Oryzias latipes: one gene and its partner. The protein of the gene in region 1 interacts with the protein of each later gene in a biochemical or structural test. Links are inferred from orthologs where the notes say so. Each region holds a gene or a part of one and is shown in the gene's direction. Other genes may lie near its edges.

Region 1 (15,979 bases):
AATTGTTCTTGTAACAGTGACATCTGTCCAACACAAGAGGCCTCCTGATCTGCTTGCTCAGCTGTTGGACAGTACAAGTAGCAAAAAACTGAATTTTATATAGTACCAGTATAATAACAGTTATTCTAATGATATTAACAATAATAATAATATTAAATAAATTATTATTAATATTTATTATTATTGTTGTTATTATTGCAAAATTCTATGACTTACAGTTATAAAATAACTTTTCAAGAAATCACAATTAAACGTTAAAAAGAAATTTATAGAAGGAACCAAAAAACACTGCTGACAGGAGGATAATAAATGTCCATTACTCCAACAAAAGGTTTTTTTGTCTGAGGCGAGACTGGCTGGGCTATGCCTCAGTATGCAGACATAGAAGAAACATTTTTTTAAAACTCAAATGTCAACATCCAATCAGTGATGTCCCATAGTAGCCTATACCTACCCTTTCCAGTTTCTAATTGCATTTCTTTTGTTTTCCGAAATGTTTAATATTTATTTTGTTTCGTTTTATTTTTTTGAAATTGTGTTTTTGTTTCTGAAATTTTGGTTTGATTTCTAAAATGTGAACTTTGCTTATTATTATTATTTTGCTTTTTAATTGTCTCTGTGATATTTAATAGGTTTTAACGTTGAGTGATATGTTGTTGTGATTTGCACTTCAGGACCATTTGAGTCATATTGACCACAAGATGGCGGTAATGTACAATTTTAAATGTACGATGCTGTACAATCTGTGGAAATACGAAGAAGAAGAAGAATGTGTTTAGACCCTCTCGGCACTCCGTAGTTGCACAAAGCGTTTTCGGACATGTTTACGGTTTAAGCTTTGTTTTGGAGCCATTATGCATTACAGTATTAGATAGCTGTAGAGGTTGCACACTTACAATTTATTGTTGTAGTTAGTTTAACGCCAGTAGATTCGACCAAAATGAGTGACTTGGTAGATTCCCTGATCAAAGAGGGCTGGTAAGTAGTAGCATTTTATGTTACAGCTAACTGCTCTGCTACTCACTGAGCTGGTGGCTTCAATCATTCCCCAACGCTTTTTTAAACGGAAAGCTTTGCCAAAGAGAAAACATATTTCTATAAGAAAATGGCTTACTGATATTCAAAAATATTGACACTGCAGTTTTTTTTTTTGTGTTTTTTGTTAAAGTGACATTACAATGTATGGAGTAGCTGGCGCGATAGTGTAGTTTGCTAATCCAGCTAGCATAAGATTGAATTAACAGAAAACTCTTGTCACGGCTAAAAGTTACATTTAAAAACCGAAAATTGGGATTAAATTTTAGGTGCGTTACGACAACAAATCGTTTGGTTACTTCCAATGTTATAACTCATGCTTCCACTTTGCAAGCTGCATTAATAACTCGTGTTGACCTCGTTGGACAGACGTCATTCATTCATGTCCATGAATGAACTGCCTAAATGTTCTGCAAATGCTTTCTTGTGGTTAACACTAAAATGACTCTTACCCATAAATGCTGATGTAGAATAGAATTCCAACTGTTTTTTCCCAGCTATGATTGAATCATAGACATTTATTTCATGAATCTGGAATAATTATTTTTTACTAATGTTAAATGATTTACTTATTTACTCCTAATGTGTTGGCATATATCATGTTTATAAAGCAATGCACCTTTCATTTAGATGTCTTTGACTTGCATACAATTTCACTATTTTTTTTAATTAGTTTTTATGTTTTTGTTGTAATTTTTGGTTAATAAGTTAAAAAACTATTCAGATTTGCACGACCTTAGAAGTAAAAAAAAATATGGATACCCTTTTTTCTTGCTTTATTTTCTTCTTTTCTTTATTATGAATACTATTATTGTTGTTGTTGTTGTTGTTGTTGTTTTCTTATTGGGCTACAACCTACAGTTATAAAAATGCCCCCTAAAAATGTTGCTGATAAACACACTTTCGATTCCCACTCATTTCTTTTGTGAGCCTCGCAAATTGTAACAATTTTTTTTACATGGTGATCTAAACATGGTGAATGACGATGAGTTAAGATTAAAATCAGAATCTCTATTCTTGGCACGGATTTTGTAAGCGTCGATTAATTATATGTGTAATATTACTAAACTGGGATTGCAAGTTAAAACTGCCTTCAAATCATCTTTAATATTACAGTTTTGAGTCATTAAAAAGCAGAGATTGTCCACGAGATGCTATTTTAATGACTTAATGCTACATCCCCTGAAAGTCTAAGGCACATGTGTCAAACACAAGTCCCGGGGGCCAAATGTGGCCCGCCATGTTATTTTATTGAGAGCTTTACAATTATTAATTTCTTAAAATTACATTTAGTTGATTACATATTATTTATGTGTAGCTGCTGTTGTAATTATTCAGTGTTTGCAGGTCTTATGTGTGTATGCAGACAAAGGCTGTGTGCAGCCTTTTTTTGTAAAATGTTACACGTGTAATACATGTTCTTTCTAGCTGAGTTTTATGTTATTTTTCGTTATTCACTTGGACGGTTTGATCCTTCGAGTTATGTGGGTTTTAATAAGCGGTTAAAATTTAAAAAGATTTATGCTAGAGTAACAAGCAAACAGATGTTTTCTATGAAACTGTAATTGTCACTTTAAAAAGTTATAATAAATAAATAATTCATTTTTTTAACATTAAGGAGTAGTCACATTTATTTTTCATTAAATTTAGTTACATGTATAAGTTATATCTGGCCTTTAGGGGACAGCCACTATGCTGATGTGGCCCTCGGTGAAAATGACTTTGACACCCCTGCTCTAAGGCTTGTGTCTTACTGTCAACAGATTGTGGATGACTGTGATGTTTAGGGATTTTCTTCTGTTTGTTTGCCTAAAGGTTGAACATATTAACTCATCATTTGCTGGACATATGTCATATCTGGCTCAAAACACGTGTAGATTGGTCACTGAAGTGTCAAACTACTGTCAATATAACATCTGTGAGTCCAGTAACTCATCAGAGGGAGAGAAATCTAAAATACTATATCTAACTATCTAAAAGTAAATATACTACCTCACTACAGGAAGTATTTTTAAAGTTGGCCATTATTCGTCGAAATTAGAATCACTCGTTGGGATTTATCTCTAAAGACTGTGTAAAAAGACAAACACTTTGGATAAATGGTATTTTTAAAGCTAAAGTCCAACACTTGAAGTAAGATTGACGCTCTTACTTTATTTTTTACAACCTAAAGGCTTTTTTGGTTTGAAACATTTTCCAGTGTTATAGCTGGAGCTTCAGGAGGTTTTAGTGTGGAATTCTTATTGTTTGTCTTCACAGGTACCTCACAGATGAAGGCATCGAAGAGCTGAAGGGATCTGCTGAGAAACTGACCCACAGTGACATCATTCACGTTGCACTGGATGTGAGTTTGAGATGTTTGCTTTTGTTCTTTAAACGCAATGGGCTTTCTTTTTGTTTTGGTGTGTGTTTGTAGGTGTATGTGTGTAGTTGAGGCTGGTTTTGCATTGCAAATTGTTGTAGGACCCTGCAACACCATCACAATAAGTAGGATTGAGACAGGCTAGGCTGGAAAGGGAAGAAAGCCGTGAGCGTGCTGCACGCATGACACATTCTTTGCAAGCTCAGCTTCGGCTGCACTCGCTCTCTCTCTCTCACCCTAGCTCTAAAGAGTCGGACTTTTCCTTCAACTCCTTCCCCTTTGATCAATTAGTCATTTGCTCACATCCTGAAATGATATCAGAAATGAATGTGAGGACAGGTACATATTGATTTTTCCTCCTTTTTTTGGAGAGGTGGGGGTGTGTGGACGTTGTTCAGAAGGAAGTGTTATCGTCTTTCAGTCAGAAAGTTTCTGTATTGATCCCTCCCTTCGGCTTTAGTGTCCTTGGGCACTGCATCCCGTTTTGGCCCCTTCTTAAAACGTTTATAACATGAGAGTCCCTATGAAATGAATATCCAATTTCATTCCTGACATTCTTGATGTTCATCTGCTTACATTGGTTTGCATTCAGAAATGAAATTTACTGAACTCCAGCTTCTTTTCTCTAATAATGTATATTAAAAACATTTTAATGCTGCAGTTTCATACTTTTTACATTGTAATGACATAATAAAATAATTGACATAACAATTTCCTTTAAAGCTCTCTACATAGTCATGTGCAGCCTGCCTGAAGAGATCAAAACCCAAGGTAGAGGTTGAATTATTAGTGACGAAGCTGCTTATTTACCTGATGTCTTTTTCTTTTCACTAGATTATCAGTAATTAGATTAAAAAGTCTGAATGTACAGCCTTTAGTGGACATGGATTGACTTGAACTTTCTGTGAACAAAGGCGCTTTAATGTGACAGAGGAAGTTAGTCAATCATTCATGCTGTGCCTCCCGCGGATCAAGAAGGAGATGTCTGAAAACGCTGCAGGCCGTCCGACTCACTGCAGTGCGCTGCATCTGCTCCCCAATATATCTACGTCCGGCCTTTGGGTTGTGTGTGTTTAGTTGAGATGTTGAGTCAGCAAACTACTTCTCCCTTTAAATGCTTAATTAAACTGAGGGCTTTAAGGAATTGGTGGCGTTTCGTGCTGAAATATCAAAACGTAAGGGTTTCTTGTTAGTGTGATCTCATCAATAATGATGTTCTGGAGTGTCATTAATGGATCCCGGTTCTCCTTGGTTCTGCTCTTCTCAAATGTACTGGCTTGTTCTGTCACATGAAGAAGTGACAGGAATACTTCCCCCAAGTGACAGCTCATGCAGAGCAGCATTATGTTGGTGGTGATGATGATGATGATGATGATGATGATGAGAGCTTCACGTTCGCTCTGCACTCTGTCACTCAGGCATGATGGAAAAGAATCCATGTGCACACACACGTTTGCCTTTCATCAGTTGACTGATTTAGCAAATAAATGACAGCTGATTAAACTAAAGCAAAAAACAAAAACTAGATTGATGTTTTCTAGTAGAATCGGTGCGATTATTTACTTAATTAAATTATACATTTTGCATACATTGCCGGCTGTGGGGGGTGAAATGACTATGATATTTATATTGTATTTCAGCATTCTTGATATTTTTAACACATTCCTTTGGCATTTTTCTAAATATATAGGTTAGATATTAAGAAAATTAAGCTCAAAATTGCATATGTGAGAATTTCTTTCAAAGTATCTCATGTAATTATTTAAGTGAAAAACTGTAAGAAGCTTGAATGAGAATGATTGGTTTGGTTAAATCTACTCAGAACTCCTTCCTTCAATTTAGTGTCAATTTTCAAGAACTGTTAATATCCACAAATTGAAATATAATGTTTTGTTCGTGCATTTTTGTTATACTGTTGTTATTCCCTTGCAGACGGATCTTAGGCCTATCGGAAGCAAGATTTTACCATCTGATATCAACAGTGGAAAAACAGAGAAGGTAGGAAGAAAGAAATCTTGCAGAAAATGAAAACTGTGTTAAGCTGTAGTTCTCAGGATCACCACTAGATGGTGATGACACTCTGCCAAATGATCATGAAAAAAATGGTGGACCTTTTACTAAAACTGAAGGTGGTCATCTTAAAACACAACAAATTATGATTAGTTTTGTTTTCTTTATCCTGGAATTGCTTTGCACGCTTATTCGACTTTGTTTTTATGTGAGCACAAACTTAAAAATAATAAAAAAATCATGGCTTAAGGCAGTAATTCTGCACTGATAGGTAACGAAATAGTTTAACAGGCAAACGCTAAGGGTAACGTATACAAACATACTATTTTTATTGAAAAAGGTAAAAATGTTATCCATTTTCTACTGTATTCGGCTTCCTTGTAACTTGTGTTGCTGGCGTGTCTGCTTTATAATCGATCCTTCTTTGTCTGTTGCACATGGCTAGCTGGAGGGCCCATGTGTTCTCCAGGTACAAAAGGTGAGAAACATCTCAGCCCCCAAAGACAACGAGGAGTCCCAGGGTGCACCGCGGATGCTGCGCCTACAGATGACAGATGGGCACACCACCTGTGTCGGATTGGAGTTTAAACATCTGTCCAAGATTAGGTATGCTGCATATTTGAACAAACGAGGAGTACAGTTAAATGCAGCTGTCAGGGCAGTCATCACTGGTTAAAAGGGTTAAAAATCATACTTATTCTACAAATGGCTAATTGCTAAATAAACGGCATGATGTTTGGTACGCAGATCCTGGGGCATTTAGCCAGCTTTTATATTTAGAGCTAGCGTGCTAATTGCGAGCACACTCTGCTCTGACACCCTGTCAGCGCTCTCACCGCACCACACGCCTGGATTGTTTTCCCTTTATCTGCAATTTCCACGTAGTGGCAGCTGATCTAGCTGCTCCCGGCCTTAATTACATCTCCATCCAAGCAGTGGTGGCCTTGGTGATGGCTGCCATGGTGACTCTCTCCAGCCTGTACAGGTGGAGTGGCCAGAATGTGGGTGTTGACTTCCTGCTGGGATGAGAGGAGAAAACCGAACAAATCCCCTCTTTATGAGCGGCGCACACACACAGACTCACACACACTGGCAGCCAACAACAGTGGTTTGTGTTTATTGCTTAAAGTGTCTGTAAGCGCGTGGAAAAGGGGATGAAGGACTTGAAGAAAGTCAACTATTAGGTTGCAAGTTGAATAGCATGTTTGTCTGTAGTTGAGAGAAAAACAACAACCAGTGTCTCATTTCTGCACTTGCCTCCATCAAGAGAACACTTTCTATCCCAAAGGTTAAGAGCAAAATCTGTAATTGTTCCTTTGGCTTCCTGCATCAGGATCTGGAAATCCCTCTAAGTCTCAGTGGTTTCCTAATGAGACAGGCAGAGGCCTTATCAGGCCTGATGAGATAGAGGCGCTTTTAATTTACCATGAGGATGGGGGAGCAGCTGGGATTATTAATGGTCTCTTCTAGCCGTGCCACCCATCTGCTGACAGAGCTTCATGCCTCATGTCATTTAGAAAGTGCTATCAGGAAGGCAATGGGATGTTTTTGCCGTTTTTTTAATGTGTGAGAATCACGCTTTAAAAAGAGTTTGTGTTGCTTTGCTAAAACATGTCTTATTTAAGCATTGTTTTGTTGTCCTTTTCAGTCTGAATACACCCCCCGGAACAAAGGTGAAGCTTCTTGGTACAGTCCAGGTTAAAAATGGTTGTTTGCTTCTTGAAGATTCAAACATCTTAGTCCTTGGAGGAGAAGTTGAGCACATGGTGGAGAAATGGGAGCTCCAAAGGGTGAGATTGTTTTTTTTTTGGCTTAAAAGACAATATCTAATTTTAGCAATCATTGCTCTTTTTATTTCATTTGGGCTTACATAGCTTTGAACATGGAGTTGTCTTTCTTCCTCACCTTGCAGAGTTTGGCAAAACACAGCAGGAGCAACATCGGAGCAGAAGGGGGCCCACCTCCCTTTGTACCATTTGGTCAGGTGCGAAAAAGTCCTGCACGCTTTTAAACAAACTTCAACTTGTGTCTAGAAAAGGCCAGCTTTAAGCACGGATGTTTAAGAAATGGAATTTCAGCCGCAGCTTTAAGGAAAGCTGGGAATGATGAAGGTATTCAACAAGTCAGACAGGTCTGGCCTTGAGTTTCTTTTCCCCGCAGTGTTTCCTTTGATCTTTTGAAGCATTGTCTTCATAAATCTTTGAAATAGTTGGACAGATCTACAGTTCAGCTTTGGGCCTTACCTATAACCCGTGGTGCAAATGCTGCATTAGGGTTTTATACAAAAGTGTCTGGAATTTAAAAGAAAAACAGCAAAGAAAGAAAATATGGCATGTTTCTGTGAGTAATCTTTAAGTGGGTAATATAGCGTACGTGTCCACTTGTACACTTTAAATTGACAAATAGTTGCTTTCTATTCAAAGTTTAAAAGTGGAAACAAAAGCATAAATGCTTTTATTTTTTAATTTTTCTTTTAATTTTGTGTGTTTTAAAAGGTTAAAATGTGAGTGATTTTGTGTCAAGGTTTAGCATCTTTATCTGCTCTGGAATTGACATTTTTTTTAATTTACAACTTTGCATTCCTAATGTGTTTAATATCTGGATGTTGTCTCTAGGAATCCTTTTTTATCCAATTCCATTTTTTTGAATTTGTCTACAGCTGAAGAAATCTTTGAGTAAATCTGCTCTGTGCTTTACTAGAACCAGACTTATTTTCAGTTTGTTGCACAAGACATTAGAAAGTCTGAGTTGTAGAAGATATGGCCCATTTTTCTGCAAACTCTAAATATTCTAAACTTCTTTGAGAAATATAGTCTCTTTTAAATTGTGTGAAAATTTGGCATTTCCTTTGAATTCCTTTTTTCTCTATTGTTGAGCTGTTGTGTATCACTGATATTTGCATATCACCAAGGAAATGTATTTAAATTGGTTTTGACACCATTCTGTATTGTGTTACAGTGTTTCTTTGTTCAAACGACTAACAGAGATCTGTGTTTGTCCTCGGAGCAGAAGTGTGCCCGGAAGGACGAGGTAGACAGCAGAGAACTGGACCAGAGGAAAACCCTCCAGACGCAGAATGTGGTCAAGAGTCCCGACGAGAACGACGAGTTTGAAAAGCAGCGAACAGCGGCGATCGCCGAGGTGGCCAAGACAAAAGAGGTTTGTCAATGTTTTACGGTCACTTTACGGTTTCACATTAATTACTAAAACACACAACAAAGGTATCAAGAGAGCTTAAAAATCTGTGTTAGCAGTAATCTAAAAATAGAAGAATCTTAAAGCTTCGATGAAACTTGTTTTTCTGATATTGTTAACGAGTTCTTGTGGCATTTTTCTCACAATGGAGGACTTATATAAGGAAAATTAAGCCCCTGCCCCTCTATATTCTGATCAATCCACTTGCAGACAAATAGATCCAAATACACTTTGTTTTTACTCATCGGAGCTGGAATCTGCCTCAGAACTGCACGGCTGAATAGCTCTAAAATTGCTTGCCAGTTTTTATTGCAGCGGTAATGTTAGGCTGGGGGTTTGAGGGGCTGTAATCTAGTGGGAGAGAATGTAAACCCAGCAATGGGCGGGGGAAAGAGGGGCGAGGTTCCTCTGCCCCAACAGTTCCGCCCACAAATATCACGCAGCCTTAATCTGTGTTGGTGTTCCACTGATTTCCATTTTATGTGAATGCAGTAACCCCTTTTGGGTGCTTTCTGAAGCTTAAAATTAATCTTCCAGAATGAGGGTAGCTATTTTATTTGAAAGGAATCTAAATGCTCATGTAGCTGTTTTTTCTTCAAAGCGGTTATACATTTTTTTAAAAACACATTTTTACCCCTTTAACAACAAAACTGAAAGCACATTGAAAAAAACAGGATTTTCATTATTTACATCCTTCCTCATCACATCTTTAATGCCTTTAGACAAACTGTATTCTTTAAACTAAATTCTATTTTCTCAAATGATGCACCACCTATTTTGGTTACCAGCTCAAATACATGCAGTTTGTTGACATTTGCATTAACCTTCGTTGTTTAAAAAAATGGACCTTCTTAACATTCATCAGAAGAAGAACTTATAATTACAATGTCAACAGCAATATTCTTCTTTATTTTCCTTTCTTTCTCCTTTTTCCCGGCTTCCCATGATCACAACTGTTGTCTTCCTCTTTCCTTGTTAGGGTCCCCGCAGCTTTGGTGGCGGCGGGAATGCGGGCAGTAATTTATCCAACGCTGCCTCCTCTTCCCGAAGCAGAGATGCCAACCAGCAAAGGAGACGTGAAGACAAATTTGAAAAGACAGAAAGCAGACCAGAGGGAAACTACAGAGAGCTGGTGAGATGACCAACATTTATACTTTTTTTAACGTTTAAAGTTCAATACATGGGTATTTCCTGACAATAGTAATGCCTCCTTGCACCGTTAAAGGAGGCAGCAGGTTGCTCTTCTTTATTTCTTCACATTTTTGAACTGAAGTCTTGTTTCATCGTTTAGAGGTCGTCTGACACATTGACCAATGTTAAAGAATGTAAATGAACTTGAGGTCCGTCTGGTTTTTAAACTAAGCTGGAGTTCATTTGTCTCTTTTTGTTGCTTTGCATCATGAAGTTGTAATTGTCCCGCTTTAGGCTGAACACATAAATGTCTTCACGGGTTTAGATGTGTGTTGCAACACATCTAAACCCGTGAAGACATAAGCCTGTTTTTATTAGGCCTACCTTTTTAAATTGAAATATGCACTACCCTGTAATTTAAGCTAGATTTAAAAAAAAAAAGGGGAGGTGTTCCTCATGCATCGTATTTATTGCTAGCCATGAGTCTACTCCTTCTCTCCAAAGCTATACACTTTTCCCGTCTTTGGTGTTTTTTGATTGTTGACTGTGCTCCGTGTGGTTGGTGGGCAGGTGGACGAACGTGCTCTGAGAGACCTCATGGAAATGGGCTTTGACAGAGAGGCAGCTCGACAAGCTCTGCTGGATAATAACAACAATGTTGAAGTGGCTCTAAACAGTCTACTGACCGGAAGTTCTGGTGGCCGACCCGGCTCTACGGTGGCTGAATCAAACAAGTCCCAACCCAGAGGTTCGTACACAAACCACAACAAAATCAATTCAGAAAGTCGTTTACGTTTCTCAAGTTGTAAAGTGGTGGTTTTTGTTTAGCCCCCCCTCCACCTGAGCTGTATGCTTAATTTTGACTTCAGGAAGAGGAAAGGGAAGAGGCAGATCCAGAAACGAAGACGAGGATGATGGGGTTGGAGGAAGACCTTCTGGTCCAAGCACTCTGTTTGACTTTCTGGAATCCAAAATGGGGGCTTTCTCTGTGGATGGTGGGTGAACATCTTCATGATTCTGCACTTGGAGCAACATCATTCAAAGTAAAACAAAGTAAAGCCCCACATCTCATCTGCAAAGACGTCTAATAAATGTCCAGAAGTTTTTGCTCAGTGATCTGTAGCACCTTTCCCATAATGGCCATAGACGGAACGTAATAATTGTCATTTATAACTTGGGTAATTGTTGAACTTTATGTCTCTGGGGGTTTTGCCTAATAGATGTTTTATATTAAAACAGGTTACAGCCATCAGATTACTTAGAAGTTTAGTTTTGTTTAAAAAAAAGAACTTTTGCAAATGTTTCAAGACATATTGGGTACTTGTTCTCAAATACTGTTTTCAGTGTTGCTTCCCAGTAAGATTCAACTTTAAAGGCAAATGTTAGTCGAGTTGAGAACATCCTAACTCCTGCAGAGCATCAATAAAACATGGAACATTGATGTTCTAACCTTTCTTTTCCATTGTTTACATATTTTTTGCTGGCGTGTTTTCCCAGATACAAAGAGTCAGACACAGCTGAGGAACCATGAGAGCAAAGCAAGTTTCTCCAACACAAGCTACCACACCAAAGAGCATTCTCAGCCCAGGTTTTCCTCACACTATGAACACAAATCACAAAGGAACGACAGGCCGCCAAGATTTAACAAAGACACAGATTTTCCTAAACCAGGCCAGGAGCACATCCCTAACCTAATGAGCTGTCCAACGTCAGCTCCATCTCAGCAGTGGAGGAGCCAGGAGAGGTGGCCGCGAGGAATACCAGATCAAGCGGTTAATGACAGGAGACAGACAAGAGATGATCAGACCGTTAGCTCTACCACTTTGCCAAAGCACTCAGAAGAACCTCAGCAGAAGTTGGAGTTTAATGGATCTTACCACCAACAATCCAGAAATAGAGAAGGCGGCTCAAATACGTCTGGGTTGTCTCAAAAAAGAGGGATGAAAAACGACGGACCCTCACCTAAACCAAGTCATTCTGCAGGAAATGATGCAGATGGAAGAGGAAACAATAAAGAAGCCAACAACAGCAGGAGGAAGCCAAAGGTTGACCGGCAAAACTCGGACCACTTTGACAGACAAAGAAATAGTGGCCAGTCCAACTTTAATTCAAAAGGAGGGAGCTGGGGGACTCAGGAAGGAGGATTTCCACAAACTCTTTGCTCGTTGACAGGGGTTCCTTCTCATTTTCAAAACGGAGAATTAGAACATAAAAGAACTGGACCAATTAAGCCTGGAAACATGCCCTGTACTCCAAACAGGGAGCAGCTACCCAGAAGAAATATGCCTCAAAACTCGGGACCGAAGAGAAGACCGGGCCAAGGTAAAGGTCAAGGCCCTCGGGGACCAGACAGGAATCAAATCCCAGAACATGGATGGAAACCCGGAGACCAGTGTCTGGCGCTGTACTGGGAAGACGGCAAAGTAAGTTTCCGTTTCACGTTTCTGTACAACCAAACAAATGTATTTTTTGGAAGTTTGACATATAGTAAAATGTTGATTCAAACAGTGCTGACTATTCATAGAGACAGCAGTGTGACATTGATGCCTGTATGTGTCTTCCTGAAGTTCTACCATGCAAGAATAGACGCAGTGCATCCATCTGGCTCCACAGCTGTGGTTGTGTTCAGTGACTATGGAAATTGTGAGGAGGTCCTCCTGGAGAACATCAAACCTGTGTCTGCTGACATGTTGGTAAGGAGAAATGACGTTTCATTACTCTGCTAATGAAGTTGCAAACATGTTAGCAAGTAGTAAAGAGAAACCAGTCGGGCAGGATTTTCGTGAGGGGCTGATCAACTGCAGGTCTAATGAGTCGCAGTAGCACGCCATATTTGTGTCAAATGTTCACTGGCAGGAGGAAGATGACAGCTTCTACGACAGTTCACTAGAGTTTCGCCGTGGGGGAGATGGACAGCCGAGACGAACGAGGCCCACGCAGCAGTACTACCAGCCCCCCAGGGCGCGTGATTGAAGTGTCTGTGTTTTTACCTGCGCCGGTGAACAAATGAAAATTGGCCTTTCGTTTTCACAGAAAATGTTTTGTTTTGAGAACTGTTATGCATTTCTCCGGCTCTGTTGGAGAACGTGCGCGATGTGTCCCGGTAACGTTGAGGATTCGTTTCTCAGTGACTGGCATTTCTGTCAGCTTGCATCATAATTGTCTCCTGCATTGGCATTTTACATAACAAAGTGGTTTTGGCTCATTTTCCCTTTTAGTGCAATTTAATACAAAACATATTTGCGGGGTTTAACTGAGGTTACGAGGATCCCATGATGCCATAAACATGAAGAGAAAACATCAGGACTTTTGTCAATCCTTTTGTTTTTTGCTTGCTTGTCCTTCATCCCAACACCTCCTGCAACAATCCAGAGTGCTTCCTTTATTTTTGTCGTCCACATAATCAGGACAGAATGTCTCAAAGGGCTTGCACATGATGCTGTAATAAAAGAACTGACATGAGCTCCTGTATTATTTGGGGAAGATCATCTATTTGTTGTGAAAATTTGTTAAATGGATGCATTGAAATAAATGACTAAAACCTACCAAGTAGAGTATTTGCTGTCTTTTTTTTTGGTGCCTTTTATTATTTAACTTGCATGATACAGAAACTAGTGTGGGGTAAAAAAAAAAAATTATCCTCCTCAGCAACTGTAACCCTTGTGCTATCTTAGATGACCCCACCCTTACATTGACGTGTTCTCCCTACCATGACAAAGGTGGATAAAGGTGGAAAGATTTAATGTAATCCATGGACACCAGTGAAGATCACAAATCATTGAAGAAAAAAGGTTCAGCGCACTGTCTAGGATAGCACAAGGGTTAAAAGTGGTATTTTCCTCATTTAGACAGAACTAGATTCATAGAATTATCCATCTATCTTATCAGAAGCTGCTGTATTTCTTTTGGGGTCACAGGGATGCTGGAGCCAACCCAGCTACTGTTGGGCGGAGGCGGGATACACTCTTAAGCCTTGTGCTATCCTAACAGCTCACCAGTCTGTTGCAGGGGCCGGCAATCCTTTTGCACATCTAGGGCCAATTCAGAGATGCCAATGTTTTTGGAATGTGGGAGGAAGAAAACACACAAAGGCACAGGGAAAACATGCTGCCCCCTTCATAAGATTCTATGGCATGAATCTAGGATTTCATGTACTGATAATGTAAAAGAAAGAAATGCAACTAAAGCAGATGTGCAACCAATGAGGCACCTGAAGTGATCAACTTGTCAAAGGCCAAATAGGAAGTGAAACTTAAACACAAGTAAAACTTGCACAAGTAAATTGTAATTGTATCTGTTTTTAAATTCTATCTTTATGTGCACTGGCTCTACAAGTCCCCAGCAAACACCCCTAGCTCATTTGTTGTGTTCTTTGAAGCAAATCCAAAGCGTAAGAGAATCTCTATCCCCCTGTAATAGAGATAGTTTCACTGCTGAGATATCATTTTGCACATTACAATAGGAACTGTACCCAGCTTTTTGCGCACACTCTTCTGGCTGTTTGTAGCCATGCGCTGCTCAGCAGTTTCACACATGAAGGAATAATCTCCGCCTCAGCTCCTGTTTCTTTTTCACCATCAGCAGGAGACAAAGCAGACAATGCAGGCAGGTTCAGAAAGGAGGTCACTGTGTGATTCTGTATCACTCGTCCAAACGGTTTGCTTAATTTCCAAGTGACGTGCCAAGCAAGCACGCATGAATAATTAACAAACGGTAATATGGAAACCTATCTACAAGAGAGGAACTGAAAATGAACCTGTTTGAAAGTGTTCGGGGGGACTGTGACACATTCATGGTGAATGAATACATAACTAATTGATTTTCAATCAGATGAGTGCTAACATTTTGGTAAGCGGTTACAGCGACCATTTTTGGGTAATATTTACATGATTATAGATTGCAAACGAACAGGAAGTAAAAAAAAATGTGAAAAGAATCTTGAATGCATCGCAAAAGGTTTATTCTTAGAAATGATAAATATGTAAGAATTAGTTTTCTTAAAGCTATTGCAGAAGTTCATAAAAATATTTCTAGGTTTTAAGAGATAAAAGATTAGGATAGCCCTTTAGTTGTCCCACAGTGGGGAGATTTCCACTTTGCAACAATAAGAGTAACAGCATGTACAAAGAAATGTGTAAATGATGTGTCACATGTTTAGACAAAACTAAAGAAGGGAATGGGTTATAAATATAGCCCAGTGAAAATATTGCACAGTTCAGAAATAATTGTACATGAATGAGGTTAACAATGTAATAGTAGTAACTAGTAACTGGATTTACTGGGGGAAATTGAAAGAACCGACCTTCGATGTCTTTACTTCAAACGCTTAAGGTGTAACAGATGCCAAAGGAGCAGCTTAGTGATGACACCGTGGGTGTTGTTCTCCATCAAGGATGATAGTATGAGGACCATCCTCCGTTCCTCACCAGTTTGAGATGCAGACCTCTTCATAAAAGATGCCTAAGACTACCACAAACTCACATCAGGTATGTAAAAGTGGTTCATACACTCCAAAAGACCTCAGTCTCCTCAGCAAATAGAGTCTGCTCTATTCTTTTAACCCTTGTGCTATCTTAGGCACTTTAACATTGGGAGTTGGGTCAGTTAGACCCTTACACGTCAATGTAAGCGTGGGGTCATCTAAGATAGCACAAGGGTTAACAAATGGTTCACTAGTTCGATTTTGTGTTGAGGTGAAGACCCACGTTCTAAGAGTCCACACTCCCAATGTCCTCTTCCTGGATGTTCACCATAGATAATGCAGAGTGTCTGAGGAAATCCACTACCAGCTCTTTAGGTAAAACAATTCAATCATTTATGAAGAATGCTTGAGTTATCAAGAAAGTGAACTTTTCTTTCATCGGGTAGAGTTCTTGATGCTTGAGAAGCACAAAAATTAAATCTCGTTTTTCATGTTTACATAACTGTACTGCTGTGTAATCTGAGTGCTGAGATCAAAGGGAATCTACAGACATGAATGTTGCACACATTTGTGTGTGTGTGTTTGACACGACTTTATAGTTCAATATGATCTCAAGTGCACAACATTCTACAAAACATTCTGATTGGATTTTACAGGAGTGGATTTACAGAGGCGATGAAATATATTGGTGCAGCATTTCACTTTTTAATGTTAGCGCTTGACGGCTTTAAGCGCAGTCAGCTTCAGTTTGATTGCATTTCCATTTATATTGGATTATGAGATGTGGGAATGATTTCTTAGTGGTTAGCACCGTCTCCTTGGAA
Region 2 (16,521 bases), on another chromosome or scaffold:
AACGGAGAAGAAGGAGGCCAACCCCAAACTCAGCATGGTCAAGTTCCTTCAGGTGGGTCAGCCAAGTGGGAGGGCAGTAGGGTTGGGCGATGTCCCTTAAATTGGCCGTTGACGATGTTTGCTGTCAACCATCGGGATGGACGATGACATCGTCGGGGGGGGGGGGGGGGGGGGGGGGTATTTTTACATTTTTCGTTCTTATATAACTGCTATTCGTTTTTTTGCTTTTTTCATTTTATTTCCCAACTAATGACTAATCCGCGATGATCCAGTATAAACTGAGGGAAGTGACTTTAACAAAAAAGTAACAAACAAAATAGAAAAGAAGTAGTCCGCTCCCGCACTTCCGGGGGAGTGCGGACTTACAGCTTTGTGTTTGATGGGAAGGGGGGGGGGGGGTACATGAGCGGTATGTGTGGGAGATTTAAGACTGCGATCCGTCCCGCAGCTCTAGGGGTACAAGCAACCGAACTCAGAACCGGGTCTAAGTGCGTGTCTGAGCACAGCTCGGATCGTCAGCAGAAACACAGCGGTTTGAGCTTCAAAGCAGAAATGTCGCTCAGTCCTTAGAAAACATTCAAAAAATCACGCGGATTTGTGTTTCCAGTCGTGTCCCGACTAAATAAAGTCTGATGTTATTCTTACATGTTTACGTGCAGCCAGCAAGCAGCACCACCCAAAGCTAATGTTGTTAGCCCGTGTTAGCATACTGCTAATCCTGGTTTCGTTCAGAAAAAGCACTGACCACACGGATTAAAATTAAAATGATGAGCGAACAGGTGTTTCATAATAACCGTAACATTATTAAAAGCAGGTTTAGAAGATCGTCTCGTATATTACCGAGCTGACATGTCAATGTATATAGCCGCTCGGCGCTGTTTAACAATGTTTTGTATTGAATTGTTACATACAATAAAGTTTGAAAAAAAAAAGCCGCTCGGCGGAGTTTATATCCTTCCGTTTTTCAAACCCTACTGCGCATGTGCGAATGATTTATTCCGACGGAAAGTGTGACCTTAGTGAACGTTTTTATATTCTGAAAACATTTTTCTGGGCCCATCTACACGGTTGGATTCTAATCTGACCATTGATCCCATCAAGATATTTTGTACATGTAACCGCGGCTTATGGTGTCGACACGCAACGTGGCGGGGGCGTGGCATCACGATGGTGGTCTCTCCATCGGGATGTCAGTCACCCATCACGATGGACGATGATATCGTCCATCGGCACAACCCTAGAGGGCAGTGGGAGGTGTCCAGCTGTGTCTGGCTGCAGGCTGTGGGTGTGTGCAGGTGGAGGCCAGAGGCTGCGACTTCGTGGTGCTGTGGCTGGACTGTGACAAAGAAGGAGAGAACATCTGTTTCGAGGTAACCCTGGAGCAGCAGCCATCATCTGCTGATTCCCATGGCCTTAAATCAGTTAAATCAACATCGGTTGCGTCCCACAGGTCCTGGACGCCGTCCAGCCCGTGATGAACAAAGGCGGAGTCAGGGAGCAGACGGTTTTCCGAGCCAAGTTCAGCTCCATCACGGACACGGACATCTGGAACGCCATGAACCGCCTTGGAGAGCCCAACAAGAACGAAGCTCTGTCTGTGGACGCTCGCCAGGAGCTGGACCTGCGCATCGGCTGCGCCTTCACCCGGTACGCCGCTGCGCCCTCCTCCACCCTAAATGGACTGAAGATGAATTTAAGAAAGGATGTTTGACTCAGGATGAGCAGATTTCCTGACATTTGTGATGCCCTGCAGGAATGGTCACAGACTCACAGCTAATATTACTCCCTTTATCAGAAGAGTCCGTATTTGTTAGGCAACAGCTGGAGCTGTGTGTCAGCAGCTCCTCCCGGTTCTGTCCATCCTCCCTGAGCATCACCTCCTCCTCCCGTTTTCTGTCTCCTCCTCAGCTTCCAGACCAAATACTTCCAGGGTAAGTACGGAAACCTGGACTCCTCCCTGATCTCCTTCGGGCCCTGTCAGACTCCAACTCTGGGCTTCTGCGTGGAGCGTCACGACAAGATCCAGTCCTTCAAACCGGAGACCTACTGGATCCTGCAGGCAAAGGTACCCGTCCTTTCAAAGAGGGAATCTTTATGGTGACGTAACGAAATTCAAAGTGCATTCTTTATAACAAACTATATAAAATACTCACAAACAATTCTAAAATAAATACTGACTAGACATATAAATTCAGAAAGACTAGAGTCTGCAGAGTTAATGTGGTTACACATTAATAAATAAATAGTTCTTAATTTGTGTTATTGTTTGTTCCTCTTTTGCTACCCTGAATGTGTTTTTATGTGTTTTATAAATAAAGTTTTAAATTGATGATTGAGTTTGTGCTTGGTTCTGACTGCTGTCCAGGATCACTGACTGTATAAGAGAACTGGACTGAGTGGCTCCTCCCCCCTGGCGTTCCAAACAGGCAAAATCCCGTAGACTTCTATAGAGAAATAAACAGCTGCTACTCAGTCGTTCTCTTGATCAGAAGAACCATTCTAGGTCTGATATCTGTTTTTTTTAACATCTTCTTGATAATCTTCATTTTTTTCATGATATTTTTTTCTGTAGTGCAAGTTATTCAATCTGACCAATCAGATGCCTGAATAAAAGCATGTGATCTGACGTCAGACATTTGAAGCATTTGATTGACGGATTCTCCTGAGCAGTGGTAGGGGTGCAGTCTTCCAGTGTAGACCGACTCGGACCAATCACTGCTTACTGACTATCTCTGGTCCCAACACGGCGACTTCATTTGCTTGGAGCCAGACGTGAGTCATTTCCTGTGGGTGACGTCACACTCAGCTGTTCAGTTCTCTCATATACAGTCAATGACCGGGACTGAGCAGCGTTCGATCCTCTGGAAGCGTCTGACTCCTCCCCCTGGAGCTGAATGGAAGTCAGTCTCAGTCTGCAATGAAACCCTCCAAACTGTTCTGGTCATCTTTTATCTTTAAAGCAAAGATTTTTATTTTTATTTTTTTAAAGCTGACATATTTTGATGATAAGTAAAACTGATGACTTTTTAAATAAAAATATGTATTTGCTGTTAAGTAAACCTGGAATCAGGTTTGAAATCATTTTTAGCTCTTACTGAAAAATGATCCTAATCTCGCTCAAATTCATATTATTATGTTTTAGCTGTGATTGATCTGGTATATTTTTATGTTGAGGAATCTTCCAAACATCCCAGTTTCTCTGAATTCAGATAGTTCTCGTGGCATTTGTTAATTCCAGTTGGAGCTGTGATTCTGCCTCCTGATAAGCGCACAGTTACAGTCTGAGGTCATGTTGGGTTTGGTTCAAGCTTCTGGTCTTGGTTGATGCAGAACTCTGCAGCCTGAATTCTCCCCAACCCAGCGGGACATTTGAGAAGGTCTTATGTCCAAACAGCAGCTCTGACCTGCTGGGTTCTGCTCAGGTGTTCAAGGGGAAGGACGGCCCGCTGACCCTGGACTGGAGCAGGGTGAGGGTGTTTGACCGGGAGGTGGGACAGATGTTCGTCAACCTGGCCAAGATGTCTAAAGAAGCCAAGGTAGGAAGATCATGAGCAGTGCTGGGTCTCTGTGACCCGGTACAACCCACCTGAGGCTCAACACACACTCCTAGACTCACAGCTACACAGTAGTGAGATGATGAAATGGTCTCTGATGATGGACCAAAACACACACAACCCAACTTTAGAAACACCAAACACTAGGAGTGATGCCGGGTTTTATTTTAGTGGACCCATAAGGACCCGGTTCAGAACTTGCTGATGGAGAACCTGGTTCTGAACCGGATGTCCTGTGTTTTGGATGCAGGTGGAGGCGGTGAGTCAGAAGGAGAAGACCAAGCAGAGACCTCAGGCCCTGAACACCGTGGAGATGCTCCGAGTGGCCAGCTCTGCTTTAGGTGATCCTCTCCTCATCCATTGATGACCACGAATAACAATAACTAGCATGACTAGCATGACTGCCATGACTCGTTCTTGGAGTCATGTGACTAGCATGACTTGTCCTATGACTCGTATGAACCTTGTGGTTCTGTCGCAGGAATGGGCCCCCAGCACACCATGCAGATTGCAGAGCGCCTGTACACCCAGGGCTACATCAGCTACCCCCGCACAGAGACCACCCAGTACCCCGAGAACTTTGACCTGAAGGGAACCCTGAGGCAGCAGGCCAACAGCCCCATGTGGGCCGAGGAGGTGAGCTGCAGTGGGGGTGGGGGCTCAAAAACTCCTGTGCTTTGACCTGTAAGCACCTCTTCTGAGGCTGCAGCTCAGTGACCCCCCCCCCCGCTATCGTTCATCAGGTTAAAGCCTTGCTGTCGGCTGGACTGAACCGACCCAGGAAAGGAAATGACGTCGGGGACCACCCCCCCATCACCCCCATGCGTGCAGCCTCAGAGGGAGAGCTGGGTGAGTCGGTGGGGACGGGGGAGGGATTTAAAACGAATCACTGATGCAAGAAAAGAAGACCCCCCCCCCCCCCCCCCCCCCAGGTTCTGAGAAAGCCTGTCACTTCTGACATCTTAGGAAAATGCAAGAATTTATCACAAGGTTCTAAAAAGAATTTCAAAATGCAAAAAGAAGAAAGAAGGACAAGAGAACTCATATTTTTGGCTGCCAGTTTATTAAAAATAACAATTTTAAAGAAAGAAACTGATCTAAAGTTAAGGACCACGTCCTTTAAAAGCCAGACTTTGCCCCAAAATCTACATTCAATGTTGTTTTCTCCAAAGTAATCGTGGTAGGATTGTTGAGCGGCATAAGGAACGCCTCTCACATCCTGCCGTCCCTGCTGAGGTTGGACGCTGTAAAACTGGAATTTAATTTCTTTTATAAAAGATCCTGATGGTTATGGAACAAAAAAGGTCAAAAAATGTTACTGGGAGGATCCAAAAGGCTGTTCGCCATGACACGGGACGGTTCTTGACCCAAATGAAGACGGTGCTGACTGTACCGATCAGACGGCGTCTGCGAGAGAAGGACTTCTAAAACAAAGGCCAAAGGCCACGCCTAGGCCACTTGACTAGGGAACGCCAAACATGGGATGTTTGAAAGTGGAAGAACGTCCTCTAACTCGGACGGTCCTGACCTCTGTCTGGCATGACATGAAATGTTTTCTATGCAGCACAGTGGAGGCGCCATCATGGTCTGGGTTTTTTTTTCCTGCGGGTCACAACACCCGCCTGACCGCGGCGGACCCCACTCTGCTGCATGTTTGAATCCAATTGGATGGACGTCCTTCATGAAGGACCTCTTAGCAGAAAGCCTTATGGAAACACATCAATGAGTTTTTTAGGTGATCATCAAGATGGGCGGAGCTACTCAGTACTGAGGTTTTTTTAATTCTATGGTCCAAAACCTTTGATCAGCGGATGAACAACCCATTTCTGTTAACCCTTGTGCTATCTGGTGGGGTCCAGATGACCCCACTCCCAAGGTGAATGTGGCACCTCCACACGCATGCATGTGTGCGTAGTCTTGGCGTGCCTTTGCTAATGCAAGCAGGTACATCCACACTTAGCTGGGGGGGCGCTAACACCCCGTAACTCATCAGACCCGCTCTGTCCTGCAGGCTCTCACTGCACACGGATTCATGCTTTTCCATTGCATGCTGCAGTTCATTTGAAGCTTCAAATCTGCGGTTCCGACCGCTAAAACTTGGATTTAAGGGATTGGTTCGGTTCTGGACAGGAGGACATCACAAAACCATCTGTTGTTTACAGTCCAAAGAACAGAAAACAACAGCAGAACAGAGCCGCCCGCTGTCTGGTTCAGGACTCCGCACATCTACCACGGCCTTGAGTTTCTCCGTTGTTGGGAGCAGATGGAGGTGCTGCACACAGAAAGATGTCCTCTGAGGTTTGCCCCGCCCACTTTGAGGCTGGATTTCAAAAATTCAACCTCGACCAAGAGTGAAACTTTACCAGAATAGAGAAAGAGCTTCACAGTTCCCCGCTTTGCTCAAAGAAACTTTGATATTTGACTGGGTTAGCAGGGAATCGAACCACTTCTATAATGAATCACAGCATAACTAAAAATCACAGCTCTGACCAGTGCGAAGGTTGCGAGCAGTGATCCTGAACTTGGGCAACAATATTGGGTCTTCAGGATCTCATCCGGATTGTCCTGTGCTGCTCTGCAGGAAGTGACGGCTGGCGGCTGTACGAGTACATCACGCGGCACTTCATCGCCACCGTCAGCCAGGACTGCAGGTACCTGCAGTCCACCATAGAGTTCAGCATCGGCACGGAGCGCTTCTCCTGTGGAGGGAAAACGCCCATTTCTCCAGGTGAGCTCAGAGGGAGCAGATCTTTGTGACAGAGCTCGGTTCTCTGCAGCTTCAGAAACGCAGAGAAGCTTCTTTTTTGTTTTTGAAAGATAAATTAATTTTTAAAAAAAGCACTACTTTTTTCATAATGTTAGTTTTTCTGTTGGTTGTATCTCCATAGCAACCATTCTATTTTTGGGTTGCTCAGGAATAACCGGCAGATCTACGTACTTTTAGAAAATTAAGCAAAAGTACATTTTTGCAGTTCTTAGGCAACAGACCGTTCTGGTTAACCACGCCCACATTCCTCATATGGTCATACTGTACGTCATATCCCTTCATTTAGTCACTGCGTATGTTTTGCTCATTTTCACGTATCAAATTTCCGTCTTTCGTGTATCATGCGTGATGTACTTGACGTGCTGCTTGCATTCCTCATACATCGATGTGCGCAGATGTCCGGTTTGGAGTTGTTCAGAATTTTTGGTCGGGTGAGAATTACGCCGTTTACGCATTTTTCTCATAGTTTCTACACAGTGATACCAGGGTCCGGGTGAATTCATGATTCTGATTGGCTGCTGGAAGCGGACATAAAGTGATAGTCCACAGAGATAACGCACCCCTAAAAAAAGAAGTTCTGGTCACATAGCTTTGATGTTCTGTATCACTGCGCCGGCTTCTTTAAAACAAACGTTTTCTTTATCATCTGGACATACATAAACAAGCGGTTAGAGGTGAACTTTCTCTCTGAACTGATGCTTTATTTAACCCATCGTGACCATCAGCATATATTTGGCTTTCCTTTGCTTCTGCAGTCGAGGTCCGTCGCCACTCAGCGGGCTAAGCGGCGCGTTGTCATGTTACCGTGACAACCACACCAAACAAGAATCTCCTGAAGGAGAAAACAGTTTGAAGCCAAGAAACCTGAAAAAGAAGAAATTCAGATTCTGGGGTTCCTCAGCGTTCACACAAACATGAGAGGAAACGCGATGGAAAACCCTCTGAGCATTTGAGCAGCTCTGGTTCTGTGGACTAAGTGGGCGTGGTCTTGGATCTGTGCTCTCCTTCAGGTTACACGGCCCTGATGCCCTGGCAGGGCGTCCCGCTAGAGGAGGCGCTGCCGACCTGCCAGCCCGGAGACGCCTTCACGGTGGACGAGCTCCGCCTGGTGGAGAGGCAGACCGGCCCCCCGGACTACTTGACGGAGGCCGAGCTCATCACGCTCATGGAGAAGCACGGCATCGGTACCGACACCCGCCTCGCTGAAACGGGCCGGGCCTCAGAGCTCTGCGGAGCAGAGTCGTGACGCCCGAGTTCTTCCCAGCGCACTCACATGGGCTGTCCTTGGTATTGCAGGGACGGACGCCAGCATCCCCGTCCACATCAACAACGTCTGCCAGAGGAACTACGTTACCGTGGAGACGGGGCGCAGGCTCAAGCCCACCAACCTGGGTGTCGTCCTCGTGCACGGATATTACAAAATCGGTGAGCGCACGTCTGAGCTGTGACCTCCGCGCCGCCGCTGCATCAGTGGCCATGGCAACCGGCACAGGCGTCCTTCAGCACAGCTCATCCGCACTCATGCACCCCCCCCCCCCCCCCCCCCCCCCCCCACAGACGCAGAGCTGGTGCTGCCCACCATCCGCTCCGCCGTGGAGAAGCAGCTCAGCCTCATCGCGCTAGGGAAGGCCAACTTCCAGCAGGTGCTGCAGCACACGCTGGACATCTTCAAGAGGAAGTTCCACTACTTTGTGGACTCCATCAGCAGTGAGTCCTGCGGAGGCCCCGCCCCCTTCTCCTCTTCCTCACTGATGGGGTGTTCTTCATTTCATTTTAGAGAAAATGTTCTCAGAATGCAAAAACAAAACCAATATTTTGAGTAAATTTCTTGAAGATGCAATTAGAAGCAGAAGAACCGGAGTGTTTGTTCTGATAGAACCATGTGGTGTACGTAGACTCATTCCGGACAGTCTGGTTCTGATCGTTTGGACTAACAGAGGACTGGACTGATGACGGGCTGTTGCTCCTGCAGGCATGGACGAGCTGATGGAGGTCTCCTTCTCCCCCATCGCTGCCACGGGGAAGCCCCTGTCCCGCTGCGGGAAGTGCCACCGCTTCATGAAGTACATCCAGGTGAGCCGCGAGCTGCACATGCTCATGTGTCCATAGGGGGGCGCTCACAGGTCACGTGACCCGTCCATCCGATCAGAACCCTGTCATCTCTGTGGGTCATGAAACAGAATTCTGGGATCAGGACTGTCCTCCTGGATTAGTTGAGCTGTGCCCTCGTTGTCCCTCCCTCTGCCCGCAGCAGATGTTTCAGAACCGGTCCGGTCTTTGGGTTTCTGTTAACTCTGACCCAGATCCCAGCTAACGTCTGAGCTCCTCCTGCAGGCAAAGCCCAGCCGGCTCCACTGCTCCCACTGCGACGAGACCTACAACGTTCCCCAAAACGGCGCCATCAAGCTGTACAAGGAGCTGCGCTGCCCTCTGGACGACTTTGAGCTGGTTCTGTGGACCTCAGGGGCGCGGGGGAAGAGCTACCCCCTGTGCCCCTACTGCTTCAGCAACCCGCCATTCAGAGACATGAAAAAAGGTAATCTGATTACCTTCTTTAGTTTGTGGTTCTTCATTTAAGGTTCTTCTTACCTGAAGGGCTTATATCATGCTTTTTTAAGCTATATCCATATATATGATCATATAGGACCTTTGGCACACTAAAGAACCATTTCTTTAAAAACGGCATATTCGTGGTTAAAAAAGCTCTAGGAACGCTTTGACAACAGATCAGACGATGATGAGAGGGACTTTAACAAACTCTAACTATTAAAGCTCAGAGTTTCATAGTTTTTTGTTCTTCATCCGTCCATCTCTTAGAGGTGGGTCCTCCTCCTCTTGACGGACACTCATGTACTTTTACCGCGTTGGAAAAGTCTTTTGTCAGAGGCAGAGCCAAAGGCTCAGCTCCCTCAGAAACCACAGGTTTCCATGGTAACGGGCCTTCAGCAGCAGCAGCCTGGCTGTTTTTACCGCGTATGCCGCTAAAGCACTTTCCACATGACCGTCTCACATTTACCTCTTGTTCTCACGGAGGGAGGGGGCTCGGTTTCCGTGACGATAGATGGGTTGTTGGTGGTAGGAGGTGTGCGTACCAGACGTTTCTGCACCGTGTTCTGAGCTCAGCAGAGCGTCGGGTCACCCAGCCTTCGGACCTGTGGACTGATGTGTGTGTGGGGGGGTCTTCCTTTGTTCTTTTAGGTATGGGCTGCAACGAGTGCACCCACCCGTCCTGCCAGCACTCCCTGAGCGCTCTGGGCATCGGTCAGTGTGTGGAGTGTGAGTCCGGAGTTCTGGTTCTGGACCCCACCTCTGGACCAAAGTGGAGGATGGCCTGCAACAGGTGCAACGTGCTCGTGCACCTCTTCGAGCACGCTCACAAGGTGCAGGTGAGGACGGTCTTCCTTAACCGTGTTGCTCATGAGCACACCGGGCAACACATTTGGACCCATGAACGATGGTTCTGAAACACGTGCAGAAGGCAGCGGCTCCTGAACCAGACTGACTGAAGGACGGGCTCAAAGGCAAAGGGGGACTGGAGGCTAAAAAAAAAAAGAAACCTTACGTCCACGTCAGCCTCGTACGGGCCGGTCCGTGACGTTAAACCGGTCTAGGATCTAGATGACTGCAGAACCACATGATGCTGCTCAGAACTCCAGATTCTGAACCTCTTTTTTTTCTTTAAAGGAGTGGATTCTGTAAGATTAAAGCTTTTTAAACTTTCCCTCTCCATTCCTACCGGCTCATATTGATTTAAAAGTACCGGTACACGATTCTGCTGCAGCGACCCGCTCCGATCGTCTCTTGATCTGTTTTTAAACGTTCCAGGTGTTTTTTTGTTTACGATGATGCAGTTTTTAGCTAAAATCTAAATACCTGTGTCGTTTGCTAGGACCTAGTTTCTGCTGAGCAGCAGTAGTTCATTGGAAAGGTCCCGCCCCCCCTCCCTTCCCCTCCCTGTTGTTGAGAGCTTAGAGTAGGAAGCCGATTGCAGTTTGTACACAAAAACTACGAGCTTTATAAAACTGCGTTTTTTTTTGTCTGCTCCTGATACACAGCGATTTAAACAAAAGAAAAATGTAAAAAAAAAAAGCAGTTTTCACTTTAATTGTCTTAATTATGTCGTCCATCATCAGAAAAAAGCCACAGGAACGTGTTAAAAACACTAATTTCATTCTTTTCACTCTTTTTATTCTTTTTTTTCCCATGTTGCTTCGATATTTATTTTGTGCAAATTAAAGGGCCTATATCATGCAATGACGATATCAAAATGCACTTTTGAGTTAGTTCCTCACTAAAAACAATCCTAAAGCGGTAATTTGATCCATTGATGCATTTCTAAAAACCTGCTCTCTGAGCGATGATCAGTTCCTCACATTGTGACGTCACGAAGTGAAGAACCGCCCCTTTCAGGAAGAGTCTGAGCTGCCAGCTCCGTCCCCAGGCTAACACACACGCCGACTTTCTCAGTGGAGCTAGTGCTGATCGACTAAACGCTTTTTATGTTTTAGAAAAAAAATACGCACTTCCATCTTTGCAAAAGTTCAGATGTTTGTTTGTTTTTGTGGTAGAAACGCTGCTGAGGCATGAAGAGAAAGGCGGAGCCTCAGAGGTCGAGTCGTCTTACTTCTGGGTTGGAAAATAGCTGCGAAAATAACAAATATTTCATTAAATAGGTATTCTTTTGTGTGTCAAAGGTTATGATACATGTTCATATTATCCTCTGAATAAAAGCGATATAGACCCTTTAAGCCCAGGACACTTCCCTGCTCTCTTCTTCTGCCAGCCCCAGCTGCGACACTCTGGGGGCCCCTCACCCCGTCTGCCATCCCTCATTTTCACCGACCTTCTCTTCTTCATGGCTAACATTCTTGCAGAGATGTGAAAATGTGGACCCTGAGGTTCTGATCCGGTTACCCTCACAGGTCTCTCAGGACAGCTGTGAGGTCTGCGACGCCTCGCTGGTCATGGTGGACTTCAACAAGGCCCGCACCCCCCTGCCGGAGGGGGACACGCAGCACACCGGCTGCGTCTTCTGCGACCCGCTCTTCCAGGACGCGGTGGAGCTCAAACACGCCTCCATGAGGCGCACGGCGCACCGAGGCGGGGGCGCCAGGCGAGGGGGCCGGGGGCGCGGACGCGGCCGGCGACCAAACCCTAAGAAGCCCAAAGACAAAATGGCTGCCCTGGCAGCATACTTTGTATGAGGGGGGGGGCGGAGTCCAGCAAGACCAGAGGGACAGTGCATGATGGGACAGTAGGGGGGGGGGGGGGGGGGTAACCGCTGCTTACAGCTCAACCTGATGTTGTGAAGGAGAATAAAAACTTAAAAACATCTGTTTCTGTGTTTGTTTAGCCCAGAGCAGCAGAGTTTCTCCCTCCTTTGATTTAACCAATAAAACACAAAATCAGACAAAAAGATGAACACAACAGCGCAGACACACGTATTTAAAACCCTAATAAAGTCTTATAAGTCTGTCTGTTCCCTGAAGGCACCAGGAGGATGAGGAGGAGCTTCTTGCTGCATTTTGGCCCTTAACCTAAAAACCTAACACCTGTATTCCTGGAGCCGCACACACACACACACAACACACACACACACACACAAGACACTGCAGCGGTTTCTGAACAGAAAACCGCACTATTCTATGGAAAATCTGCAAAGCAACGTCACTTTATACAATTGAAACATTTAGCAGCACATAAACACTTTTGTCACCTTAACACTGTTATATTATATTGGCATTTGTTGAAATGTCTTTTCATTCTAACATGAATCCTTTTATAGACTTCCTGCTCTTAGGCCTGAACAGTCATGCAGAATATTTCACTCGACTGTATTGTGGAGGTGACAAAAAATGGAATTTGGGCATCAGGTAAACAATAAAACAAGATCATGGAGGTCCAGACTTCTGCTAGTTTACTGTTTAATCCCCTTTTAAACACGGCTGTGGGGGTTCCTCCAGAATATTCTTTATTGGGGAGGGGAGGCATATAGGTCCACTAAAACATGAAACTGATTGGTGCAGCTGTGTGATGCTAAGCCCAAACTTTAAGAATCACCTCTCCAGTTCTAAGAAACAGTAGGAACCCTTGAACACAACCTGGTTTAGATCAGCGGTTTCAACACTTTTTTCTGAATCAAACTAATACAAAATTTATTTCCACTAAATTTTTCATTATAATTTTGAGTCATTTGATGGAGTTACATTTTGAAAATGAAAAAGCATTTCTGTTAATCCATTTTAACTGTCAAATTAGACATTTCTAAATTAAGTTTGCTACACATTTACCAGAGAACTTTTTGAAAATGAAATGTCAGATACCATTTTGATTTTAATTAAGTGACAGAATAAGCGGTGTTGAAGAAGAAAATGAAAAAGCATTTTGTTGGATTGCAGCTTCATTTTGAAAATGAAAAAGCATTTCTGCTTTTGACTTTTATTTTTAATTATGCCACAGAATCGCTTCCATACAGTAAAGTCAAATGTAATGACTGGTGGACAAATAGGACCAGACTGCCCCCTATAGGTGGAGGTTAGAGTTGTATCGACATAAGATGACCTCTGATTTACATGCTTGAAAGTATTTTAGTAATCATTTATTAATGTTAAAATGTCACACACACACATACATAGGAAAACAAAATGTAATTATATATATATACATAATTAAGATTTATTTATTTTTCATAGAATATGAAGATGACACAATTGTTTTCCACTCATAGTTAGTCGTTCGGTGAAGCCATTTACTATCAAAAAGTTCTCTTTAGTCTTTGTAAATCATAAACTACCCAAATGCCCCTATTCAAAAGTTTACATAACCCAATGACTTTGTTCTGAAAACATCCACACACAATCTGATCCAAAAGGGTTTGAATGGCAGCAACAGGTAACAATCCTCACCTGTGACTCGTTTACCTGTATGCATGTGTGCACAAAAGGTCGTGGAGTTTCAGTGCTGCACTGATATTTCTGGATCCTGAGTCGTGAGGAAAACTTAGAGCTGTCAAAGGATCTACGGGAAAAGGTAACCGAACTGAACAAAACAGGACAGGGATATAAGAGGATATCCAAGAAACTGAGAATGCCGGAATAATACCAGATCAAAGACCATCGCCATAATCTATTCTAGATGTAATAAAAGTCTGTTTTGATATTTCAGAACTGGTTCTGGACAGAATGGTCTCAATATGAGGCCATTCTGATAAAAGCTCCATGGGAGGCTCATCCGTTCATCTGGTTTTTTTGCATCATAAACCAGAAGAGGTCTGTCCAAACCTGGTTGTCACATGTTTGGAGCAGGAAACCGCTGGCGTGGAACAACAGCGTTCACTGCTGCTTCCACAGCTCAGACTGATGAGGATCAAGGCTCCGTCTTCCGTTTGGAGCTTCCAAAATCCGATCTTCCAGTTCCACATGAAGGTTTCTGACCAGCAGGTTCTGCACGAGTGAACGTCAGTCCTCAACAAACCAAAGCAGCAGTTTCTACAAACCTGGAGCTTTTTCTGATCAGACCCCCCCCCCCCCCCCCCCATTAATCCACTGTCCCCCCCATCCCAATCCAACAGAAAAACACACATTTTAGTCAGATTTTATTCCAGCAAACAGAAATTCTTCCAGCATCAAACTCTGACTGGAGTGTCTGTCCTGCAGCAGATGAAGTCTGTATTTGGTGAACGTCACTGTTCTGCAGCAGGTTGATCAATTTATCCAAACGATCATGGAGAAGTGACCAGAAGTCTCAGGTTCTAGTCTGATTTTCACGTAAAGATATTCAATGTTAGGACTTTTTCCCCGTTTATTTATTTGCATTTTCTAGGTTTTAAATTCATTCAATGGTTCTGAAATGTAGAATGCATTTGAGTTTTTATTTTAGGTTCATATCATACAAAAAATAATAATTAATTTTTATCTAAAATGTAATAAATAGTCAATGGGGTAAAAAGTACATCTGCTAACAGGAGGGTTTGCCTTCGAAAAACAAAGCATTTTTAAAGAAAAACATTTTTAAAAGACTTTGCTTTTCGATCAGCTGTTTTCCTTTAACTGGTCACAAGAGGAAAGAAATTACTTTACAAACAGAACCGATGTTTAAAAAACACTAATTAAAAAACAAAACTTTACAAAACCCAGATTTAATAGTATTTTTATTATATATATATTATATATATATATATATATATATATATATATATATATATATATATATATATATATATATATATATATATATATATATTATAAATCTAATAACTCCATTCAGTTCATTCATAATTTTGAAACATTTTCTGTTTTGGACCTTATTCTCAATTTGTTTTCTTCTTTTCTTTTCTTTTTTTAAATGTAATCTTTTTTATTAAGAACTTTCAGATTGTCATGGAAATGAGCAATAGTTCCTGATCAATTTATTCCTCACAGAAAGTAAAAGTAAGAACTTAATCCAAACTAATATTGCAATCATCTAATAAAACCTTTAATTAAATGAATCCCTGTAGTTTTTATTTTTTTACATTTGACTATAATTTATAAAGTTATTTCTATTTGTTTCTTTTTTGTCTTGTTTAATTTCCAGTGAGGCAGACATCACCAATTAATTTGTTTTTAATGTTTTAATTTTTGTTCATTCGTTGTTCTACTTGTTTTATGGTTTGATTTGTACCCACACATAAAAGCAAAAACACAAACTAAATAAAATAAAACTTAAACACAAAACGACTTTAAACAAATAAAACCAAACTTGGCAAATTTCACTTTGACAGAAAAGTTAAATAGCTTTTAGAAGACGAAGAGTCAAGATACAATTTTAATAAAATGTAGAGAAATCACTAAACTATACGAGAAACGTAATTTAAAGGTTTTTTTTAATTGGGGACATTTATTTTGAAAATAAAAATTAAGATAAATATCAACTAAACTCAGTAGTTTAAGTTTCACTTTTTGTGGTTTGATTTTTTAAAAATGAGGAGGAGCACAAGTGTCTTCCATAGGGATAGTAGCTTTGCATTATTATATATTTTAAATACATTAAATTAAATTTCGTTCTCTTCATGCGTCTCCATCCTGTTCATGGCACGCGCGTGCCCCTCCGCCGTGAGCACGCACGTGACAGAAGCTCCTGAGCTCCAGAACTGGAGCCAGAACCAGAACAATCTCCAGGTGGTCCGGACTGAAACCTGCCGAAAGCTGGTTTGCATCACGTTGTCTGGTTGGGGCTGCCCAAGTGCGAGCGCGCACCTCCCGCACGCACGTGTCCGGCTGAGCTCACGCATTGGTTCCAAGGTCAGAGAGCCACGCGCACGTGAGCTCTTAAAACTGCTTCAAATTTAGAGAATTAAGCAGAGAGCTCAGAACCAGAACAGGGCCTACAACCCATCTGGTGAGTCACGTGCGCGGATCCGCGTGCATCATTCCCACAGAGGAACTCCTTTCATCTGAGCTTCGCCTCCATATACGGGCATGGAGCTTCCTGGGGGCCCCACACTGGGAGCAAGCTGGAGAGCAGGCAGAACCAACATGAGCGCGCGTGCCTTACATAGCATCTGCAGGACGTCACCCCCACCCCCACCCCCAAAAAAGAGTGAAGCGCGCGTGCTACTAACTCCCTGAAGAACTCAGGCGAAAACACGACCGTTTCTGGATTTCCCGCTTCACTCGTGACCCGCTCGGTCCAGATTCTGAAGCGGTTCGGTTCCTCCCTCTGCTCGGTTCGGTGCGCGCGCGCACGGCAGCGCCAGATTTGTGAATGAAAAACAGGATTTGTGTTCATTGTTAAATTAAAGTCCACCGTGACGTCACTGTGGTTTGCGACCAATCCGGGAGAGCGAGAGAGGGGCTGCAGCCAATGAGAGCGGAGGCGGCCGCGGCCAGCAGCCAATCAGAGGCCGGCATGCAGATGCGGCTGCGCTCCAGAAGCTGAACGTCAACCAGCAAAGATGGAGTCCAGAACCGCGAGGCCGCAAAATACCGACCCACCGGAGGACCTTCTAAAGAGGGGGGGCACCGTGAGTCTTTCCCGGGGACGAGAACTGGACCGGATCGTGCGTGCACGCGCACACTGCGGAGCGGGAGGCTTTCTCGCTGTGGGACGCGCTTGCGCTTCTCCGCGCGTGCCTCCCTCGGACCGGCCCTGCAGGTACCAACAGAACCTCCTGGCCCGAAAGCGCGCGCACACGTGGATGTCGCGGTTCTGATTGGCCGC

The links.
Region 2: the proteins of tdrd3 (region 1) and top3b form a complex in vitro, tested with the Homo sapiens proteins (2 studies listed by BioGRID and IntAct, with this or other methods). The link is inferred for Oryzias latipes from reciprocal best matches to the Homo sapiens genes TDRD3 and TOP3B.

Annotation. Positions count from the first base shown.
Region 1 is NC_019861.2:15,644,021-15,659,999, reverse strand, and holds tdrd3 (tudor domain-containing protein 3), read left to right. Parts: upstream 1-780; 5' UTR 781-940; coding exon 941-978; intron 979-3,294; coding exon 3,295-3,379; intron 3,380-5,329; coding exon 5,330-5,395; intron 5,396-5,852; coding exon 5,853-6,013; intron 6,014-7,055; coding exon 7,056-7,197; intron 7,198-7,319; coding exon 7,320-7,391; intron 7,392-8,416; coding exon 8,417-8,566; intron 8,567-9,581; coding exon 9,582-9,734; intron 9,735-10,303; coding exon 10,304-10,481; intron 10,482-10,602; coding exon 10,603-10,728; intron 10,729-11,230; coding exon 11,231-12,156; intron 12,157-12,300; coding exon 12,301-12,426; intron 12,427-12,589; coding exon 12,590-12,706; 3' UTR 12,707-13,283; downstream 13,284-15,979. UniProt on the Homo sapiens protein: Scaffolding protein that specifically recognizes and binds dimethylarginine-containing proteins. Plays a role in the regulation of translation of target mRNAs by binding Arg/Gly-rich motifs (GAR) in dimethylarginine-containing proteins.
Region 2 is NC_019867.2:30,365,645-30,382,165, forward strand, and holds the end of top3b (DNA topoisomerase 3-beta-1), read left to right. Parts: coding exon 1-52; intron 53-1,295; coding exon 1,296-1,370; intron 1,371-1,450; coding exon 1,451-1,647; intron 1,648-1,908; coding exon 1,909-2,065; intron 2,066-3,422; coding exon 3,423-3,536; intron 3,537-3,804; coding exon 3,805-3,895; intron 3,896-4,035; coding exon 4,036-4,190; intron 4,191-4,297; coding exon 4,298-4,403; intron 4,404-6,135; coding exon 6,136-6,282; intron 6,283-7,331; coding exon 7,332-7,505; intron 7,506-7,617; coding exon 7,618-7,746; intron 7,747-7,878; coding exon 7,879-8,028; intron 8,029-8,293; coding exon 8,294-8,394; intron 8,395-8,655; coding exon 8,656-8,857; intron 8,858-9,519; coding exon 9,520-9,707; intron 9,708-11,243; coding exon 11,244-11,525; 3' UTR 11,526-11,571; downstream 11,572-16,521. UniProt on the Homo sapiens protein: Releases the supercoiling and torsional tension of DNA introduced during the DNA replication and transcription by transiently cleaving and rejoining one strand of the DNA duplex.